2 linked regions of the Anolis sagrei genome follow. The protein of the gene in region 2 binds, or shares a complex with, the protein of the main gene of each other region. Links are inferred from orthologs where the notes say so. Each region holds a gene or a part of one and is shown on either strand. Other genes may lie near its edges.

Evidence for each region.
Region 1: DAB2IP (region 2) and DCP1A share a complex: the UniProt entries of both Homo sapiens proteins name them as parts of the cytoplasmic complex. The link is inferred for Anolis sagrei from reciprocal best matches to the Homo sapiens genes DAB2IP and DCP1A.

Annotation. Positions count from the first base shown.
Region 1 is NC_090022.1:60,978,671-60,986,675, forward strand, and holds the start of DCP1A (mRNA-decapping enzyme 1A), read left to right. Parts: upstream 1-4,858; 5' UTR 4,859-4,905; coding exon 4,906-5,040; intron 5,041-8,005. UniProt on the Homo sapiens protein: Necessary for the degradation of mRNAs, both in normal mRNA turnover and in nonsense-mediated mRNA decay. Removes the 7-methyl guanine cap structure from mRNA molecules, yielding a 5'-phosphorylated mRNA fragment and 7m-GDP.
Region 2 is NC_090031.1:2,167,790-2,175,465, reverse strand, and holds the start of DAB2IP (disabled homolog 2-interacting protein), read left to right. Parts: upstream 1-4,233; 5' UTR 4,234-4,491; coding exon 4,492-4,612; intron 4,613-7,676. UniProt on the Homo sapiens protein: Functions as a scaffold protein implicated in the regulation of a large spectrum of both general and specialized signaling pathways.

The sequences.
Region 1 (8,005 bases), on a different chromosome or scaffold from region 2:
AACTGCTCATCTTTAGATGACAATATTATACATCTTTTATTTAATATATATGCCATTTATGTTATGTTTGAAAAAGCGGATATTTCAGAGTTAGAATACTCCTATTTAGCCATGGGGTTATTTCCAAAAGAAGTTATACAGCTTGTAACTGAATTGGGAAGAAATATTACTATCTTCTGATTTAGATTTTAAGAATAAAAACATTGCAGTAGTAGAAACTTCCACCATATAAGGATTTGCATGAAAGAATAGACACACACCAGAGAAATTAGCAGCTTTTGGACATGGATGAAAAAAAGAAACAGGAGTGCAAATTGCATCTTGGATCAGTTGCTGGCATCAGTTGTCTTCTTTTACCTTGTGCTGCATTCAGAAAAAATATTATTTACGATCAAAACTGCTTCCAACGTGTAAATGACGCAATGCCCAGCTTCACCTGTGCAATTGAACCACTTACCCTCATCCAGTGGAAGATGTCATAATCATGAAACAAATTCTTGCAATTTGTATGTCTCCAGCTGGCAGGCAGCTGCTGCCTTTCCGGAAAAGTTGCCACTCATGCACAATCCCCTGATGAAATGGCACCCCATGTTAGAAGGATACAGGATATTGGATTACCTGTCTGCACCAGATCATTGTTTCTAGGAGATAATCCATAAATTATTAATCTTTTGAATGTTCTTGAGCAATGTAAGGAGGGCTACTTTTGACCTATTTCAACCTTTCCCATTGCTGTTGTGAGAAGAACAGAAGGATTAAAATTAGCGATCCACGGCATCTGTCCTTTTAGGATCACTGCTGTGGTTTACAGCCTTTTCTTTCTTTCTTTCTTTCTTTTTTTTTACAATGAGCATTTCCTATCTATTCGCTTCACCTTAAATGGGTGAAAGAAAGTTAAATTCATAACTATAGGGAACACTCCAGTAGAGTAAATGTTTCTTTTATGCTGTTATACTTGTACTTCATTAGATTACATGGTTTCAATTATTCATAGTTCCTTTAATGCTTCCTTTTCCATATAATTTCCTAAAGGATTTCACCAGCTTCGGAAGAAAGAACAAACAGCCTATCGATTTGCATTAGTCTCCCTGTTCTGCCTGAGAGGCCTGGAGGTATCTACACTTAAAAGACAAAATAGCAGAAAGAACACGCTTCTGTCTCCCCCAATCTGGTGCTCTCCAAGTGCTTTAATTTAAATTTCCCAAAAGCCTCAGAGAGCATAGGCATTGGTCAAAGGTGATGGGAGATGCAATTCAACAATTCAAAAGGCTACCAAGCTGGGAAAGGCTAGTATAACTACATAAAACAGTTGTTCTATATCATAAACAGGTTTCATAAGTTATTACACACATTTTGTTCAGTGTAAATAGGGTGTGATTGCTATCGGATCTGTGAAAAAAGAACTTCTAAAATAAAGCATGGCTCCCATGCCTGCAGGACTTGTCCACCTCCAACAAAATATATCCTTTCTAGAAATTCTGTGGTGTGCTTATACCAGAAGTTATTAAGGTAAAGGTTTCCCTTGACATTGAGTCTAGTTGTATCTGATTCTAGGGGGCGGTGCTCATCTCTGAAAAGCCAGCATTGTCTGTAGATACCTCCTAGGCATGTGGCCAGCATGACTACATGGAGCGCTGTTACCTTGCTGCCGAAGCGATACCTATTGATCTACTTGCATTTGCATGTTTTCGAACTGCTAGGTTGGCAGAAGCTGGGCCTAACAATGGGAGCTTACCTTGCTCTCTGGATTCGAACTGCTGACCTTTCAGTCAGCAAGTTCAGCAGCTCAGCGGTTTAACCCGCTGTGCCACCAAGGGACCCTCCAGATGTAATTACATAATGGTATTGGACGATCTAGCAAATTCCTAGAGGATACCTCTTTAGACATTTTCGAGGTCCTCAAGGGAGGTTCTATACTAGTAAGAAGTTATTTATTTCAATAGGGTTAGCTATTATCCATGGTTTCCTGTTTCCCCTGCAAATTTTAGGAACACATTCCTCACTGATACAGGAGTTGTATTGTATTACAAAGCAGAATGATTCTTACATTAAATTCTTGAACTAATATAATTAGTTCTGCTTGCAATGTGCTTTTATATTACATTATACTACATAATGCAATTATAATGTCATTATATTGTATATTAGAAATGTTATTAGGCTGGATATTTTTTGTTGCTTAAACAGATTTAAAATATAATAATATATATGCTTATAATATTATTTTTATTGTAAAACAATGTCTATATTATAATGTAATGTTTCTTTAGAATAAGCCCATATATTTGGGATTAGGACCCAGGGTTTAAGAAACAATGCTCTAAACCAGTTCTACTTCAGAGTGGCAGTGCCAGGACCAAAGGTGGTCCCAGAGCCATTGGTTGCTGGTGTCTGCCAAGTTTCCAGGGAAAAAAAGGAAACATTTGGACTCAATACACACAATGTTTATCCATCTTTTATACTACATACATAGAAATTAAGTATTTTATCCCAATGTCATGAAATTTGGTATGTTATCAAATGAGACAAAAAGTCCACGGTAAGGTTTTGGATCTCATCTGTCAACTGCTTTGGATACCTCCCAAGCAAACATTACTGTTTAATTAAGTGATAACTCTCTCTATCCAAAGAGTGCTTTTTTGTGAAGTGGTTCCCCAGTGCCTTATTAAGAGCACTGCACTGGGCACCACTCCATCACCATATATTTAGTATAGTCTGTGCCCGCCCAGTCATTCATATTTCTTTCCATAAGAGATTACTGGAAAAGGTACCCACCATATAAGAATATCAGCTAATGATACAGAATCGGGGTGGGGAGGCATGGGGTAACCCATTTAAGAACATACACTCTACTCAAATTCAAAATTCATATTAGAGAACTGAAGAAGAAAATACTCTATCAGAGGCAGGAATTCGGCAGCTTTGACCACATGAAGCTCAAGAAGGCTTAGATTTATTTCTCATTGTTCCTCAACATTTTGGAAAACTCTGCCGCCAGTGATGAGAATATCACCTCCAAGGTCACAAAAACAGTGTCATTTGGTCTCCAGGGTCCTGGAGAAGCTGCAGATGCAGTTCATACAGCAACCTATATTGCAAATGCAGTACATACAAATAAGTAAGGGTTGGGGTGAAGGGAGAAGAAACTGACTGACTTCATGGTGTTGACAAATGTTTTAACTGCTTTTAACCAAATGATTTATTTATTGTTTTAAACTATTGCTATATTGTTGTTTGTTTGTATTTATGGCATCGAATTGTTGCCAATGTAAGCCATCCTGAGTCCCCCTTCGGGGACTGTGTGTATATGTGTGTTTGGGTATATATGTGGTTTTGCGCGTGCGTTGTAATATATTTTTTGTGGAGGCTTTTTTTTTGCTTTTGAAGTCTCTTCTGCTGTGTTTTTCAGTGTTTTTATGAGTGATGGTCACTCGTTGGCCTGATGTTATGTTTTTGTAATACAGGCATCGAATTGTGCCTTGTTTGTGTAAGCCGCCCTGAGTCCCCCCGGGTGAGAAGGGCGGGGTATAAGCAACCGTAATAATAATAATAATAATAATAATAATAATAGGTGTATTGTGTCCAAATCTGGTGTCAATTCACCCAGTGGTTTGTGTGCTGTCGCCTGGGCCTGTGCATCAGACTGTAGACAGGACATAAATTCTGTGTGCCCAACGGGATGCCGGGGCTGCCTCAGATTAAAGGCCTTTGGATTTTCTTAAAACAGAGTCTTTAGATTGCTTAAAGGTTCAACCAAGTTCTTTATTAATGAAAACAAACAGGTACTTTAAGGCTTTCTTAACAGTCTATTGGCTCTCTCTCAATCTTGTCCACAGGGAACAGGCACTATATTCATAACTGTAACTAATGGGGAAATCCTTAACTTCTAATCTGGGCAGTCTATCTTTGCCTCTGTTGGCGTGGAGCCCCTGCACCCGGTACCAACTGCTTCTGGCTTCCGCAAGTGACCCTTACCAAGCAGAGCTTTGTAGACTTCCAGGGGAAAAGAACTCAGGTTTCCGTGATGGCTAACTGAAGTCCTTCAGCAAAGGAACTGTAGGGCTGTATAACCCCGGCCAAGCTGTGAGCTGTATATCTCCCCGGCCAAGCCGTAGAAGACGAAGCTTTCTACAGGAGCTCTTGGTATTATGTCCTACATGGAAGGCTTCTCTGTGTGGACTGACCCAAAACTGGCTCCTATTCCCTCCCAAAAACCCAAAAGGGGGCGGGACCAGGGAACCTAACTATAATTGACAGGTGGCTTGCCCTATGATTGCAGCCAAAAGAAGCCACCTATCTGCAGAGTCCCTGAAACTTAGGACTACAGCAAACATTCAGTGCAAAGCAAACAAAATTGGAGCTCCTGGTACAGCTGTACCAGCAGAGTTTGTGGGATTATGTTAATCCCACAATGTGCAAACATACATGCACATATGACACACAACCCCAAAAACGTTAAAATTAAACCTCCTTTATGTGTATGTGTGTGTGTGCAATCATACCTGGGCATATATGACCCACAACTCCAGAAACCTCTTTGACATTAAACCTCATTGGGTCCCAATTTTTACAGAAAACTCCATCACGTGCCACCCCAAACACTGAAGAGCCGGAAATGTATTTCTAGGTGAAACAGTTTCCGTCGCGGCAATCGTTAAATAGCAGTCAGAGCTGCGGAAATACATTCATTTGGGTTTCTTTCCCGGCGTTGCCCATTCCCTTCTGGAATTAGTTCAGTTGAGAGAAACACCAAGGACGGGTTAGAGAGGCGCAGCAGAGTGGAACGCAAAGCCGGGCGAAGGCGGTTTCCGACCGGCGGCTAGAGAGGGACGGACCAGTGCGGGTGACGCTCCCTGGGCCTCCCCTCCTTCCCTTCCCCGCCGCGGCCGAGGTCCCGGATCCAAGATGGCGTCTCTGAGTCAAGCGGGGCAGGAGATGAGCCTGGCGGCCTTAAAGCAGCACGACCCCTACATCACCAGCATCGCCGACGTGACCGGCCAGGTGGCCCTCTACCGCTTCAGCCCCAAGGACAACGAGTGGGTGAGTCCACGGGGCCCCGCTCGCTGGGAGGGAAGGAGAAGGGCCCCGGCCCCTTTGGCGGCCATTCGCAGAAACACGCCCACCTTTCGGAGTTCCCACAGAAGCTGCTGCTGCTGCTCTTAGCGCAGGCCTGGGCCAACTTGGGCCTTCCAAGTGTTTTGGACTCCAACTCCCACCATAAGCGGCTGAGGGGGAAAAGGAAAGGGCCTGAGGCTGTTAGGAATGGTGGGAGTTGGAGTCCAAAACACCTAGAAGGCCCAAGTTGGCCCAGGCCTGCGCTAGTAGCTCCTGTTTGCTCCTTGTCTTGTGAGTTTTATATTCACCTTCTATTTCTATTGTATGTTTATCACTCTTGCACCGTGAATTGTAATACAGATATTTTGTGGCCGTGTTTTTCAATGTAAATATTTTAGGGTATTATTATTATTGAATCATAGAGTTGGAAGAGACTTCGTGGGCCATCCAATCCAGCCCCCTGACAAGAAGCAGGACAATTGCGTTCAAAGCACCCCCGACAGATGGCCATCCAGCCTCTGTTTAAAGGCCTCCATAGAAGGAGCCTCCACCACACTCCGGGGCAGAGAGGTCCCCCCCTGAACAGCTCTCACAGTCAGGAAGTTCATCCCAATGTTCAGGTGGAATCTCCTTTCTTGTAGTTTGATTTATATTTATTTAGGTTAAAGGTTTTCCCCTGACATTAAGTCCAGTCATGTCCAACACATCTCCATTTCTAAGCCAAACAACCACCGTTGTTCGTAGACACTTCCAAGGTCATGTGGCTGGCATGACTGGAAGATGCGCCACTACCTTACCACTGGAGCAGTACTTATTTATCTTCTCACATTCACATGTTTTCAAACTGTTAGGTTGGTGGAAGCTGGGGCGAACAGCAAGGTGCTCACGCCGCTCTCCAGATTTGAACCTGCAATATATTTATTTATACCCCACTTTATCTCCCCAAAGGGGACTCAAGGCAGCTTGACCTAAAAACATTAATATACCATTTAAAATAAACAAGATTGCAAGCATTCAATAGAATTAAACATCAGCAGCATTTGAAAAAAATCGCAGTTAAAATCCATCAAAACAGTTCAAAAGCACAGAACCCCCTGACTAGTTCTTGGACACCTTCATCTTTAAAAGTCTGTTTATTTATATCCTGCTTTTTTCTCTCCATACGGAGACTCAAAGTGGCTCACAACTAAAAGCGTTAAAATATACACGTATTAAAACAGGATTAAACATCATTTAAAACATATAAAATCACAGTGGTCCCTGATAATCTTTAAAACCTTCTTCTTTAAATGCCTGCCTGAATAAAAAGGTTTTAGCATGCCACCTGAAGGGTAGCAGGAGGGGGCCATTCTTGCTTCCCTGGGCAGGGAGTTTCAGAGTCGCAGGGCAGCTACCGAGAAGGAAGGCCCACTCTCTCATTCCCAATAACTTAACTTGAGATGGCGGTAGGACCAAGAGAAGGACTTCGCCCGGGTAGGCTCATACAAGTGGATGTGGTTGACCAAATAGCCTGGACTTGAACTGTCTAGGGCAGTCGTTCCACACCTTTTTTTTTTTCGACCAGCGACCATGCACCAACATTAGTACCAGAAGGGTTATGAATCCGTTTTTGGTCAATATTACATCTGGTTTGGTTATTTGGGATGCTTATTCAGAAAATTGCATTGGATGGATCACATCAACTCTAGTTTCTGATACAGAACATATGCCATCCAGTAGTCACCATCTGCTCACCCACAGAAAACCATATTTAATAAGCCTCAGCACTATAAGAGAGTTTTCCAAGACCAGTCACTCTTGTTGCAATGGTGTAGTAACAGTGAGGCTGTGAACCATAGTTTAGTTCTTTCAGACCACTGGTGGTCCACAGGCCACAGGTTGGGAATCACATGTCTAAGACTTTAAAGGTCATAACCAGCACTTCGAATTCTATCTGGTAACAGACTGGCAGCCAGTGGAGCTGTTTAAACAATAGGATTGTCTGCTTCCTGTAGCTAGCCCCAGTGAACAACATGTCTGCAGCTCTGTGGACCAGATGAAGTTTCTGAGCCCTCTTCAGAGGCAGCCCCACGTAGAGTGCATTACAGTAATCCAGACGATGTATGTATTTTATAGTAGTGTGTTTTAGCTGTGTTGTACCTGCTTTCAGCCATGAGGAGAGGTGGCTATCAAATAAAAATATTATTATCATCATTATTATTATCTTTCCCCTGAGATCCAATAGGTGTACAGTAGATCAGGGCTTCTTATACTTTTTCTTCCTGCAACCCTTTTCCACTTGAGAAATTTTTACATGATCCTGGGTATATAGGTACATTAAATAGGTATAAAAATCACACATTTACTGGTAATAAATCAACATTTGCAAGACTTGCTAAATAGGCTGATTTGTTTTCTGGAGTGTTTTCTGGGAAGTAAACACTTCATGTTGTTCCTAACTGATTTGTGTAAATAGATAGTGTTCAGAAACCTTTTACTGTTGCAATTTTTTTTGTTGCACCCAACATTGAACCAAGAAGAGACCACAGTTTTAGAAGGAGTGCAAGAGAGCTTAGGTTTGGTTCTAGGACCCCAACAGAAGTATCTGTTTAGGTTTGGTTCCAGGACCCCCCATAGAAGTGTGATGCTATGTGTTACAACTCCCCACAAAAGAAACAAATACTATCTCCTGCTCTTTGGATACCTTTCGTTACAAAGGAAGATTTAATAGTGTGCTATAACCTCTGCATGCAAAAATGTTTGCTCTAAAGTACAGAGAAAAACAAGAAGCAATGTAATAGTCAAGCAGAAGATTATTAGTGTTTCCAGGTAGATTTCATAGACTTTTTACATCCTTAGGATACAGCTATCTCTTCTTTCTGTTCATCATGTTAGGACCAACTCAGAAGGTGGTGTCCCATCATTTCTAGTGGTCATGGATAAAACACCATAACCTGCACTAGTCCTGATA
Region 2 (7,676 bases):
GATTGCACTAAATTACTCAAACGCCTGCACAAACATCCAGGTCTTCACCTTTTTGCGGAATACCATTAGAGATGGTGCTAGTCTAATGTCCGTAGGAAGGGCGTTCCACAGCCGAGGAGCCACCACCGAGAAGGCCCTATCTCTCGTCCCCGCCAGCCGAGCTTGAGAAGCAGGCGGGATCGAGAGCAGGGTCTCCCCGGAAGATCTCAAACTCCTGGTGGGTTCATAGGCAGAAATGCGGTCAGATAGGTAACTTGGGCCGGAACCGTTTAGGGCTTTAAAGGCCAACGCCAGCACTTTGAATTCAGCCCGGTAGCAGATCGGTAGCCAGTGGAGTTGGCGCAACAGGGGGGTTGTATGCTCCCTGCGCTCCGCTCCTGTTAAAATCATGGCTGCCGAGCGTTGGACTAGTTGGAGCTTCCGAGCTGTCTTCAAAGGCAACCCCACGTAGAGAGCGTTGCAGTAGTCTAAACGGGATGTAACCAGAGCGTGGACTACCGTGGCCAAGTCAGACTTCCCAAGGTATGGGCGCAGCTGGCGCACAAGCTTTAGCTGTGCAAATGCTCCCCTGGTCACCGCCGAAACCTGGTCACCGCCGAAAATAATGTCCAGCTCAAAATGCTGAGACGCACATGGAATTCGATGTCTTTTGGGTTGTATACATTTTGTTCACATGGATGTATTGTTGTTGTATTCAGGCATTGAAAGTTTGCCTTTTATGTTTAGAATTGTGACGATGTGTAAGTTTTATTGCTTTGGTTATGGGTAGTTTGGATAGTGGTTTAGGGATGGTAAGTATGGGAGATTATGTTTTGTTGGAGATGGTGGCTTGGCGTTAGCTGAGTTGCCATAGCAACAGGGGCGGAGCCAACTGCCTCTTGAGGAGGCAGCTATTTTAAAAAGTCAGCCAGTGGCCGGAGAGCTACTGAGAGGACTGAGTCTCTGGGTGGAGATTCAGGGAATGTGTCTGTAGCCGGTGTGCTATAGGAAAGACTGGATCTCAGGGTGGAGATTCAGGGAATCAATTGGTGACCAAAGTGGTTGCAGAGAAGGACCCGGTAGTGAGAGAGCTACAGGGGGTTGTTGATTCTGAATTAAGAATCAAGGTTTGGCTGGGTTTAAGCCTGCTGTTCCTGTGGTGAAACGTTTTGAAGTCTGTGCCTGAGATTACTCATGAAACCTTTCCAATGTAACCATCAAGATTTGTGCCTCTTGAGAAGAAACAGTTAAATATGTTATACTCCTGTTAAAATAAACTTGTTACTGTTTTCCTGAAGCCTTGCCTGATACAGTTTCTCCTAAGTTGAACAGCCTGCAATAGTAAAGTCAGCCAGAAACAGTAAACGCTACGCTATCCACTGAATAAGACCTTCTGTCATTAACAGTCCCTTTATAAAATAGTTCCTAGGCTGATATTGATCGTTGCCCGGCTTCCCTCATAGATTAGTGGGTGTTTTACCACTCGCACCTTCACATTTGGTGGCATTCGGTGGGATTAAAACGGTCTTCTTTACAAGAATCCATCCTGTGTCCCTCTGGGGAGATAGAGCAGAATATAAAGAAATTTTTATTATTATTATTATTATTATTATTGAAAAATAAAAATCAGCATGATTTCCAATCTCAATAGTACCATTCCCGCCTCTCCAACTTCTGTAACGTGGCAGTGGCAATCCTTATTCTGCTCGCTCCATCTCTCTCCAAATACCCATCCTAGTTATATGTCACCTTGTCATGCCCAGCATTTTTTATAATTTTAATTATTACATTTGGCCCTGCCATAGGTTTTTAATGCGCCGTGGTGTTATTGTTACTGTTTATTGCTTTGTTTATGAGTTTATGCATTATCTGTATTGCTGTTGTTGCTGTTTTTACTGATGTATTTCGGCTTGGCATCTTGTAAGCCTCACCGAGTCCTTCGGGAGATGGTAGTGGGGCATAAATAAAGGTTTATTATTAATATTATTATTATTAGTCCTGTACCGTCCCACTTTACAGCTGTTTTTCAAACGTCCCAGTTTCTCTCGCCTCCTTCCATTTTCCTCCTTTGTCCTCAGCTTTCCTTTGTGGCTGCAAACAGAATTGAAGATGCAAAAGTGCTATATGCACCAGGCCTGGGCAAACTTGGGCCCTCCAGGTGTTTTGGACTTCAACTCCCACAATTCCTAACAGCCTACCGGCCCTCCAGGTGTTTTGGACTTCAACTCCCACAATTCCTAGCAGCCTACTGGCTGTTAGGAATTGTTGGAGTTGAAGTCCAAAACACCTGGAGGGCCCAAGTTTGCCCAGGCCTGGTATAGACCCAATGATTTCAATGGGCACTTCCCTGGTGGTTCAGGCAAAAGCAAACAGCTGCTGTCTTTCCTAGTTGTGCTTTGCCACATTGACCACAACCAGGTATATTTGATCTCACATGCCCCAATTTCCATTTGCAGAATGTCAGTCCATTTGGTGTTGCAGGACGCCCAGTATATTTTGGGGGGGAGGGCAAATGCAAATACTTGCAAGGGTCTGGCATGCCCAGGGCAGATTGCAGTTTTTCCCAAAGGAGGAATAGGTACAAGTAAGAGAAAGAAAGAGTTCCTCCTCCTCCTTGTCTGTGCCTCTCGGAGTCATCTGTCGCCCAGCTGTGCCTTTGCTCCTTTGACCTGAACTTGGTGCGTTGATTGGCCATTCCTGGCCTTCAGAAAGTTACTTGTGGGTTTTGGGGGAGGAACGCTGCAAAATCTGGCATGGACTTTCCAGGAATATTTATTGCTTTCTGGTGAACCTTTGCTCCGCGTGTCTTTGGTGCATGGGAGAAAATTCAGTCTCAATTCGTTTTTTGATGCTAGTGGGTGAGCATTTGCAAATTTCACCATGTGGTGGAAGGATAGAAGGGAATCTCAATGTGCAAGGTTCACATGTCAGCCCAAGCTGTGAATGGGTTAGACCAACTGCAGAAGCAAGAGAAGGCTGAGCTGAATGGAGCTCCTTTTTGTTCATATGCCAACAGAGAGAGCCTCCATATGCAGGGGCAGTGTACTTGGGCATAGCAGATACTTGAGAACTAAAACTTAAGGAAATGTTGTTTTTCCCACCTGTCCAGGGCCCATGAAAATGGAAAAGATGCAGGACTTGGAATGTTTTACTTTTGGGGCTACAATTCCCAGAAATATCTCCAAGATGGGAGGCACTACCATTTCTCACTTATTGAGGGATCCATCATTAAGGGGAGTAAACCTGGCCCACTTGCCTCTAGCCAGGGTATGGGCCAACTTGAAGTCCAAGTGTTTTGGACTTCAGATCCCACAACCTGGGTATGCAGATGATCCCTTGAATGACCATAGTGTTCAGTTCCAAGAGGACAAAGGCATGGGCCAACTTGGCCTTCCCTTAATGTGTTTTGGACTCTAACTCCCACAACGTGGGTATGCAGATGATCCCTTGATGGACTGAAGTGTCCAGTTCCAAGAGGACAAAGGTATGGGTCAACTTGGGCCCTCCCTCCAGGTGTTTTGGACTCCAACTCCCACAATGTGGGTATGCAGATGATCCCTTGATTGACTGAAGTGTCCAGTTTCAAGAGGACCAAGGCCTGGGCCAACTTGGTCCCTCTCTCCAGGTGTGTTGGACTCCAGCTCCCACAACGTGGGTATGCAGATGATCCCTTAATTTACTGGAGTGTCCAGTTCCAAGAGGACAAAGGCATGGGCCAACTTGGGCCAGGTGTTTTGGACTCCAACTCCCACAACGTGGGTATGCAGATGATCCCTTGCTTGACTGAAGCGTTCAATTCCCAGGGGACAAAGGCACGGGTCAACTTCAGTCTTCCCTCCAGGTGTTTTGGACCTCAACCCTCACCATTCCACATTTCTCCCTTTCACTCTCCAATCATTCCTCTTTTAATTCTGCAGCACTGCTGGTCACAGCTGACCCCCAGTTACAGTGCTCAAGGGCCAGGGCTTCCCAATTCTTGGTGCAAAGTAAGAACCGCACAATTAACAAGGAAATTACACTTTCAAACCACAAAGAGAACATTTTTTTTCAAATTTTACTACATAGTGCAACCTTTATTGATGCCCGGCCTTTCTCCCTGTAGGGACCCACAACCCCAGCCAGACCTGTTCCCGTGTGTGCTATTGCCTTGGCCTCACAAAGCAGTGGCAATCCAGTCCAGGACTTCCTCCCGCCTCAACTTGTTCCCTTTCCAAGTCCTGTTTCCTCTTTGCAGCTCCTATCTTGAAAGTGTGGGGAGGGGAGGGGGCAGGAAAGAACTCTGGGCTATGTTTATCTGGCCTGCTGAGAATGTTGGCCCTGGAGCCGGAGGAGAAGTCCCCGGCTTTTATTTCTGGACCGGCACATGCCTTGCAGGCTGGGACTCCCAGCTCTGTGATCTTTATTTATTTCCTCTCCTCCTCCTCCTCTTCCCATCCTTTATTTCTTCCTTGTCTGTAAGTGGAGAAAGTGGAAGGGTTCTGGGAGGACCCCCACCACCGTCCCCCAAAAGAGATGTCGGTGAATGGTAGGAGAAGCTCCGGCAGGCCCTCCTACTACTACCGGCTGCTGCGGAGGTCCAGGCTTCACCGGCAACGGAGCCGGTCCCGCAGCCGCAACCGGCCACTCAGCAGGGGTAACGCACTTTCTTTGTTCTTGCATGCACCTCTGGCATCTGTTGCTCAGCACCTAGAAGGCAGGTAGAGTTCGGGGCCAATGGCAGGTGTGGGACAGGTATGGAGGAGACTTGTATGGGATGCACATTCTGGTGATGGAGGAAGGATACCGTCTTTCGGGCTGCACAGAATGGAGTGTCGTGTGTTATTATTGTTAGAGTTGGACCAAAACTATTGGATTAAGAGGCATGCCAGGTAGATGGCTGAGCCACACGTTGTCCGAGATGTCTTTCCTGCCCAGTCTCATATCCGGTCCAGATTTGGTGTTAGGGAGCCTCCAAGCAATGAGCTTGTTCTTAAGTGTGCCGGGCAAATTCGAAGAGGTCCAGTTCCATCAGATTTGGTATAGCACCGGATGGGGTCACACTCCTCCTGAAGACGCAGGTTCGCAGCTCAGGTGTGATCTTGGACTCGTCACTGAGCCTGGAACCCGAGGTTTCGGTGGTGACCAGGGGAGCATTCACACAGTTAAAACTTGTGCGCCAGCTGCACCCGTACCTTGGGAAGTCTGACTTGGCCACGGTAGTCCACGCTCTGGTTACATCCCGCATAGACTACTGCAACGCTCTCTACGTGGGGTTGCCTTTGAAGACTGCTCGGAAGCTTCAAATGGTCCAGCACTTCAACTCCCACAATTGCCAGGTTGCTAACAGGAGCGCCACTCAAGGAGCATACAACTCCGCTGCTGCGCCAGCTCCACTGGCTGCCAATTTGCTACCGGGCACAATTCAAAGTGCTGGCTTTAGTCTTTAAAGCCGTAAACGGTTCTGGCCCGACCTACCTGTCCGAACGCGTCTCCGCCTATGAACCAGTTAGGACATTAAGATCGTCTGGGGAGGCCCTGCTCTCGGTCCCACCAGCTTCACAAGCGCGCAGTAGTCTATACGGGATGTCACTAGAGCGTGGACTACCGTGACCAAGTCAGACTTCCCAAGGTCTGGGCGCAGCTGGCGCACAAGTTTTAATTGTGCAAATGCTCCCCTGGTCACTGCTGAAACAATAAAATACATAATAACAATAATTATAACAATTAAAACATTACATTAATACAATAAAAAGCTAGCCTGGTGGCCATTGTTTTGCCAAGTCCATAATTAATAAATTCATTCCGCTTATCATAATCTGGTTCCAAAACTTTAGTCGTCATTGTCCATTGTCAGTCTGCCAGATTACCTAAAGGCCTGGTCCCATATCCATGTTTTTAATTTCCTTCTGAAAGAGAGGAGGGATGACGATGATCTAATTTCCCTGGGGAGTGAATTCCACAGGCGGGGGGCCACCACCGAGAAGGCCCTGTCCCTCGTCCCAGCCAATCTCATTTGTGACGAGAGCAGGGTTCCCCCAGAAGATCTTAAATTCCAAGGCGGGACGTAGAAGGAGATACATTCGGACAGGTACGCAGGGCCGGTGCCGTATAGGGTTTTATGCAAGAGGGAGGTCGTTCTGTTGCCACTTCTCTGGAAGCTGGAATGTTAAGTGGGATGCAGCCAGTTGAGCGTGTAATGACTTTTTCTATTTACATTGTAGAGAGAGCACAGCATCCTGGGAACTGTAGTTTGGGAAGGCGAGGAGCCCTATGGCAGAGAATGCAAAAGGCCTTGCCCTGAACTACATTTCCCAGAATTCCGCTCAGCATCAGAAAGCCCCAATGAGGAGGAGGAAGAGGTCCTCCTTCCTGACAGAGTCCCAATGAATGGTTGAATCCCCCAAAAATCAGTATATGTGTGAATCTCTCAGAAACTGGGAGTGAATGCTCTCCTGTCATCTTGTGTCATTGTGCAGAAAATTCAAGGAGAGTGCTCTTGTAGGGTTTTGTTAATGTTGTTTGTAAAAATTTTGAAAATTCCCCCAAAATCAGTGGAGGAGCGAAACATTCTGAAACTTGGTGGGCACACAGTGGTCACTGGGTTCTATAACCGTACCAAGTTTCATGCCAATAGCTGTAAAAATGAAGGAGAAAGGGACCCTTGAAGTGTCCTCATTGGCACAATTACTTAACGAAAAGTAACGAAAAAGCAGTGAACTCATTATAGTTATGATACGGACCCCATCCAATTTTGGAAATTCTGATTTCGTAATGAGTATTCAAATATTTTTTTAATTACTAGCCATCCCCTGCCACACGTTGCTGTGGCCCAGTCTGTGTATATGTGCTTTGTATGTATATACATGTATATATGTGTGTGTATATGTGTATATATGTGATTATGCACATGCATTGTAATGCATTTTTTATTTTTTTGGCTTTTTGCATCCCTTCTTCTGTGTTTTCCAGTGTTTTAATGAGTGATGGTCACTCATTGGCTTGAGAGGTGTCTTGTGTCTAAATTTGATTTCAGTCCGTCCGGTGGTTTTTGAGTTATGTTAATCCCACAAACTTCTGGTTTGAAGAAGAACAGCCTGCCTCAGGGGAGCGTGCTCGCTTCGTTAATGTTCAACATTTACACAAATGACCAGCCACTGCCAGAAGGGACAGGGAGTTTCATCTATGCTGATGATCGTGCCATCACTGCTCAAGCAAGGAGCTTTGAGATGTTAGAACAGAAACTCTCTGAAGCTTTAGGTGCTCTTACTGCCTATTACAGGAGAAACCAGCTGATCCCTAATCCATCTAAAACACAGGCATGTGCCTTTCACCTTAAGAACAGACAAGCATCCCGAGCTCTGAGGAATATTACCTGGGAAGGAATCCCACGGGAGCATTGCAGCGCACCCAAGTACCTGGGAGTCACTCTGGACCGTGCTCTTACCTACAAGAAGCATTGCCTGAACATCAAGCAAAAAGTGGGTGCTAGAAACAATATCATACGAAAGCTAACTGGCACAATCTGGGGATCACAACCAGACACAGTGAAGACATCTGCCCTGCTGCTGAGTATGCATGCCCAGTGTGGAACACATCTCACCACACTAAAACAGTGGATGTGGCTCTGAATGAGACATGCCGCATTATCATGGGGTGTCTGCTCCCGACACCACTGGAGAAATTACACTGCTTAGCCGGTATTGCACCACCTGACATCC